Linked DNA regions of Kluyveromyces lactis. The protein of the gene in region 1 purifies or fractionates together with the protein of each later gene. This does not show direct contact. Links are inferred from orthologs where the notes say so. Each region holds a gene or a part of one and is shown on either strand. Other genes may lie near its edges.

Region 1 (3,589 bases):
GTGTTTTAATGATTCCTAAATCAACAATAATCCCAGTATGCTGTTGTTGTATTAAATCTAACTTAGATTTTAACAGGGCAATTTGACCATTGACACTTTGACACTTGCTATTACACACTGCGTCGCATAAAACGTTCCAATCAGTTTGTAAAGTGTCTACTCTGCTTTGGAATGTATGAATTATTCGTTCAATATTCTGTGGCATCTCATTTGATTCTCGGCGTCTTCGCAATGCAATCAAAACTTGAAAATACTAATTGATTCAGATGTAAATAATAGTGTATATACTAAACTACGAATAAGCACGAATAACAGAGGTGATGATGTGAAAGTTTGTGAAATCTGTGGTTTATATAATATTTGACATATGTTTAATATAGTAATTAAATCTTTTTGTGACACTTTTATTTTTCGTTTTTCCTTTTCCTTCACTGACTGCATGGACGCACCAGTCCACACAGAAAAACCAGCAAACCTAAATGTGGCACATCAGAAAAGTTGTTCGAGCGGCGATGGGTTTGCACCATCCAAACAATACTAGGAATAACGTTTTCCTGCTGGTTCGAAAACGCACTGAATTTAACTACTGTTATTCTTTTATGAATTGCAAAGTATCGATGCTATCTGGAAAATTTGAGTACAGATTAAATACATTTTGTAGGGAAAACTATCATTGTAGGAGCGGTGACAGCCGTTAAATCTATGCTAAATGGGTAAGTTTTAAGACGATATTTGTGAAGGATAGAAATTAAGAAAGAGGAATGAAAAAAAACGCGATACTCCTGTACCTCTAATTTTTTACGTTTTTATTCTTTGTCTTTTGTCTTTTAGCGCTGGATTTTTGTTCTTTCGTTTGCTCTTTCTTTTGTTCTTCTTGCTCTTCTTCTGCCTCGACCTCTTCCAAGTTTCTTTTGGCTTGCTTAATTTGCGTAGCAAACAAGGAGTCTAGTTCGTCTGGATTTGCAATTTCTAACAAAGATTTCTCAAATTGTGATAGTTGCAATTCGACACCATCAATTTCTATGACATTTTGAACGGAAGTCTTAGCATCATGTCTGGACCCAACCAATTTGTCTAATACTTCCAAATTAACGTATAATGGAAGGACTGGTGATTCGTTAGATTTGAGAAGAATGGTTCTGATATTGTACTTTTCGATGAACTGTTTAGCGACAGAAATGATATTTTCAGTCAATTGTTCTGGGGTGAACCATTCCAATGAACCTAGATGAACATTCATCGTGTTACCTCTTGGAAGTTTGACTGGGATTTTAGTATCATAAATTCTCTTGATGCTATTTACCAAAGTTGTCTTGTTAAACTTGTTATCCGATCTTGTGTTAATGGCAATTGGAGTGGTATTCAACTTACTGTATGCTTTACCACCTAATAGCTTGGGCAAAGCTGTCACTATCGAGTCATCAGCTAGAATGAAAGAAAAATCCTGTACAAATGCACGCCTCTTTTCAAAAGCCTTGTATTTTGTCTTCAAATCTTTACCAGATATGATGGCATCAATAGTAATATGTTCTGGAAGTAGATCGATCAAGTCTTCTGATGTCACTGAATTGATATCAGAATCTTTTAGAATCAAAAGAGTCTTGAAATCTTTAACCATGGTGGTGCTAGCTTCCTTCCATGGCTTGAAGATAGAATGAGGAACTGTAATTAGTTTTGGTTTGAAGTTTTTCAAAGAACCAGTAAAAGATTCAGTGTTGACTAGGATCAACTGTAGCTGAGCCTCCAATTCAGAATCATCAATTAACTGATTGTCATTTGATCCATTTTCCTTCAAATATTCTTGCAATTTAATAACAGCATTGTTAACTCTGTTAACTGGAATGACTTCTTCCTCTTTACTGCCCTTAGTAGCCTTGGTGGCTTTGGTCGAAACCTTGCTTTTCTTAGTTTTAGTTGCCATATTATCTAAACTTTGATATTGCTTATAATGTGCTTGTAGATATACTAGACTGGATGAGTGGAGTTATTTCCTCTATATTCTGGATTCTTTCCAAGCGTTTTTTAACTTACTTGATTCGCACTGTCTCAGAAAAAGATCAACAAATTGTTGGTTCACCTAGGTAAGCTTACTTCTCGAGTTCGTACTGGCAACTATGAAATATCCAGTATATATCTAATCAATCCTTTGAGCTGAGAAATAAGAATAGGTACTTAAATACTTTACATACCATTACTTTATTAATCGTGTTAGGTGTGCAACATACTTCGAGATGAGATGAGATGAGCTATGATGAGATGAGCTCTCTATTGTCAAAAATAAAAATTTTCTGTTTCGCAGGAGCTCCACTGTGTTCACGTAGTTAGTAAATATTGCTTTTTGAAAGCGAAGGCCGTAATATATGATTTGAAACTTTTCTTGAAATTTGATAACATTTGACACTTAAGAAATAAAGAGTAACCGAATCTGATATTGAATCTCGGTGCGTGTTTGTGCAAAAGTTACTAATGAGCAACGGGCTACGTTCAGTGAATGGGGTTACAATACAAAAGGGCTTAAACTGTGTATTTTAGGGTTTCTTTCTCTGGTTTATTTCGGAACAGTACTATTTTTGAGTTAGGTTTTTTCGGCTGTCAAACAGGACTCACGATCGATATAAAGGATACCTTAACAGAGAATACGCCGCACGAATCTGATTTATGAGTTATTAAGTTGCTATTATTATTATTATTATTATTATATCGTAAACATAGTCATCGTCCCCGTTCATTTATACTGCAAAAGGCATATTAGCATATATTAATCAAATCTAGCCGCAGGGGTAAGCATACGCTCTCACAAGACAAATAAGAAGAGCATTAGACATGGGTAAGAGAAAGAAGTCATCCAGAGGTCCAGCCAAGAAGATAGTACAGAGGTTAGATACGGCATTCAATTGTCTCTTCTGTAATCACGAACGCTCTGTGAGCGTAACAATGGACAAAAAGAATAACATTGGCTCGCTTCATTGTAAGATTTGTGGACAATCGTTCCAAACCCGCATTAATGGTCTATCACAACCGGTAGATGTATATAGTGACTGGTTTGATGCGGTTGAGGAAGTTAACGAAGGGAAACATAGCGAATCTGAAGATGAAAACAGTGACAGTGACTACGAGAGTGACTCTGATACTGAGCCTTCTTCAAACCGTAGAAAAGCTGTTGGAATAGATTCTGACGAAGAAGAAGAAGAAGAACAAGAAGAAGACGAAGATGCGGATTACGGAAGAAAAGGAGCGACCGAACGAAAAGACTCAGAACCAGAATCAGACTCAGACGATGACGGTAAAATATCTAACAAAAGAGGAAGAGCAGCATGGATGGACAGTGATGACGAGTAGTCGAACCGACAGAAACACAGACATCGAACACCAATATTAATCTTACAATTGTATCTATCTATCTATATATTACCCAGAGATATACTAGTAGAACGAATAAAATCAGGTATAAAGGAGCTGATATTTACGTTCAAAGAGATTGCTGGATCTTATCTGTTTCCTATAAGAATTTATATAACGCTCACCTTGGCTTTAACCATCGGTTGATAGTATTCAGTTTGTACTGCAGAAGAATTTATATATCAATTCT
Region 2 (3,500 bases), about 1.3 Mb from region 1:
AAATAATTCCTTTCTCTTGACCTCCAATAAATCATCTACAACTGTAGATGAAGACTCATCATCTTTATATGGTTTAAACTTCTGTTCGGGTTCTTTATGCTCTTCAACTAATCCGTCTTTAAACCGTACCTTCTTTGTTTCTCTCAGATTAGGCTTTCTTTTGAATCTATAGAGTTCCTTGTCAATGACTGTTTCTGGCAAGCCTTCAATGATATCATTATAAGTTTTAATCTGATGATTAAATCTATCATCTTCAGAAAAGGGTACATCATCTTCATAATCTTTGAGCAAATCAAGTGTATGGTTTATATGTTTCTTAAGTTTTATGTTATCATTTTTAGATGGTTGCATGTGAAGGACATCCATTAACCTGTCTCTCTCATCCACAATCTCTATTAATTTATCGATTTCATATTCGACCTTCAAACCATTCATTTTTTTATATCTATCGTCCCTCTTTCTCTGTAGATAATACGCCTAACATTAAGCTTCGCATAGGTGTTGGCTGCGTTAGGTTACGAAATGCCACTTATTTTTAACACGAGCTGTCTCTTATGCCAACGAATCACATTTAAGGTTCTCCGGTATATAGCATAAAATATCGAATAGTCAAAGAATTAATAGGACAAAAGAGATTACCCGGAACAATAATTGACAGTAATTCCCCAGTTGAAGCACCAAGACCAATTGCAAGCCAAATCGGAGATACAACAAGTGTCTGTCTTATTGAAAAGTTGGATTATTTATCCATATGTACACTATACTATAATTGTTAAGGTTGTGCTCCATTATTGAGCATTTTGTTTCTTAAAAGCTATCGAACGCTTAGTAACTCTTCCTGTCTTTGATCTGTTCTTTGTTCTTTTTAGTACAGGGGTGGTTTCTCCCTTTGAAGCTCTTAAACCCTCAATTGTCAACTCTTCACCTAGCTTAGCCCTATCAGCCTTACCTAACACCTTCTTAGCTCTTCCCAGTTTTGTCCTTTGTTGGTCGTTTAATTTATTATTTTGTAGGGAAGATTGGTTTCCTTGGGCCTTTCTCATATTCTTGCATCTAGAAATTCTTAGCTTTCTGGCCTTCTTACCTTCATGGATCTTCTTTTCATGTAGTAGTAACGCTTTACTCACTGATTGGAAGTCCTTAAATTGAACGTATGCGAAACCTTTACCCATGTTCGTCTTTGAATCACGAATAATACGAACATATTCAATGTCACCACAAGGTTCAAAGTGCTTCCAGAGACTTTCTTCCACTTCTTCAAAATCCAAATTACCCACGAAGACTGATCTTCTCTTATCATGTGGGGAGGGGTGTGTAACCGAATCCACTCTCAAATGATGGTCGTTGAACACTTTACCGTTCAGATATTGGCACATAATCTTGACCGGATTGGAGCTCCCATATACGGCATATGCGTTGATCGAATCTCTAGATTTGTGAAGCTTTTGATGAACAAATGCAACTTTTCTTGGCAATGCTTCTTCGAATGCAATGGATCTGAATCTGATACTTTCCACATTAAACTTAACATCTTTTGTCTTACTTTCTTCTTCTTCTTCGTCTTCTTCTCCGTCATCGTGGTCATCATTCTCGCTACGGGGATCCTTGGAGAGAAGTTTCTTAAATTCTTTGTAAACTTTCTTTGATGTGATAACCTCATTTGGTACATTCCCAATAAAAATTGTTCTCTCAGCCTTGGCTAGTTCCTTTTCTTTCAAATTGATAACTTTAGCAGATTCAGATTCCGTGCCGGTAATCGAAGACTTATCGACTGCAGTTGCTTCATCTTCATTATCACTATCGGAAGAGTCGTCCTTAGGTTCATCCTTAGGTTCATCTTTAGATTTAGAATCACCTAATACCTTAGAATAATATTGAACTTCCAAATTATCATTCTCTTCATCATTCTTCTTGGTCTTCTTCTTTTTCTTCTTCGGCTGTTCTTCCTGTTCTTCCTGTTCTTTCTCTACTCCTTCGGAGACAGTAGAAGCACTTTCCTGGACATTCTCTTCTTCTTGTTCATCCTTATCCTGTTCAGGCTCAGTTAGCACAGTCCTAGCTTTCGACTTTACTTTACGCTCATCGACATGATTAGGTTTGGAGAATAACGCTGCAATCGATGATGTACCTGCCGCGTCTGATTTGGAATTTCCAAATAAATTGTTCAATGCGGACATCCCGTAATATAATTTTGGTTTGTTATGTTTGAAAGACCCTGGTTCACCAACACAAACGTTATTCCTCTGCACTAAACCTGCTGGTGGCTGTCCAAGTCTCTTCGATGCGATGAGCTTTATCCATTTGTCTGTTGAATTATCGAAAGTGAAAAACCTGCACTTCCTAGAAAAGCCAGCAGAAATCATGAATTTACCACCAAAAAGAAATGCGGAAGAAAAGCGTACGCTCTATGGACAAATCGAATGTATCGTAGTCACGTGATTAACACCGTGGAATGTACTATATGGCCGGGTAACATCATGTTCCTTTTCCTTAAAAAACGTACAAACTGTAAATAGTGCTGAAATGCCGAAATATAAGTTAAGAATAAAAATACAGTCTGATTTTAGCATGAACATATAGTTATGGCCAGTCAGCAATCAATACATAGATCTCATCCAAACGTGATTTAAAATATTGTGTACTACTAAGAATAGAGAGAGATAACTGTTTTGCTAGTAAAAATAAGAATTACGCGAAGTAAGGTATATTTGCAGCCCTTTGTTTTAGTGTGTCAGGTATCAACTTTCAATCTATTCAAGCAGCAATTCTTAACTTATACTGCGCATATTAAACGGTTTGCTGGTTAAATTTTGTGTGTTTCTGCATTGGAGTATAAGCTAAGTGTTTTTTCTTTGCCATCAGCCGATTGGAGTAATACAAAGGTTGTATTGGTTATATGCGTTGGGATTTCTTTCTTTTTGAATTCAAACGGTACTATCTTTGAATCATTCAAATGGAGCCAGAGAGAAACAAAAATAACAGTGTAGAGGCTGCGAGTGAGATTGACGATCATAATACCAGATCTGCCCCCACTACGAAACTTACCAAAGAAGTTTTAGAGAAGATTGCTTCGGATTCTGATTCTGTTAATTTTAACGCAAATAGTTATTCAAGGAAATCGAAATCAGGGAGTCCCTCAAAGGTTGGTACATTAGAATACGACGATAACAGTACCAGTGGATTATCTAAGGTCACTTCTCCAGAACATCCAAACTCAGTCTCTCTATCGGACATATACATCTCATCAGACGCTGAGACCGAAAAGATGGATTTAGAAGAGGACGAATCACGTGTCAAACTATCGGAAATGGCATCCAATTCGATTGAAAGTAACGGTAATGACAAAAGTAAACAAAATGATGATAATCTTTCGAAGACTGTAAAACAAGAGTACATCAATAATGGTGTCGGTAGTTATATTCAAGAATCTGCCCCTAAACTTGCTACTCCTTCAAAAGATGAGGGACCAATCGTTCAGCAAGATAAACCAGCCGAAACAG

What was found. Proteins that work in one complex are often made in the same cells at the same time.
Region 2: the proteins of CIC1 (region 1) and NOP12 purify together in Saccharomyces cerevisiae (affinity purification with mass spectrometry, with the first as the bait; 3 studies listed by BioGRID). This does not show direct contact. The link is inferred for Kluyveromyces lactis from reciprocal best matches to the Saccharomyces cerevisiae genes CIC1 and NOP12.

Annotation. Positions count from the first base shown.
Region 1 is NC_006042.1:2,032,345-2,035,933, forward strand, and holds CIC1 (Cic1p), read right to left. Parts: upstream 1,922-3,589; coding exon 791-1,921; downstream 1-790. Other genes in the region: KLLA0_F21824g (transcription activator GCR1-like domain-containing protein), read right to left, coding at 1-205; ELF1 (Elf1p), read left to right, coding at 2,824-3,339. UniProt on the Saccharomyces cerevisiae protein: An adapter protein that specifically links the 26S proteasome to its substrate CDC4 which is one of the substrate recognition subunits of the SCF E3 ubiquitin ligase complex. Required for turnover of cell cycle regulatory proteins CDC4 and GRR1.
Region 2 is NC_006042.1:734,101-737,600, forward strand, and holds NOP12 (rRNA-processing protein NOP12), read right to left. Parts: upstream 2,178-3,500; coding exon 789-2,177; downstream 1-788. Other genes in the region: SYN8 (syntaxin), read right to left, coding at 1-435; Rpd3L histone deacetylase complex subunit DEP1, read left to right, coding at 2,954-3,500.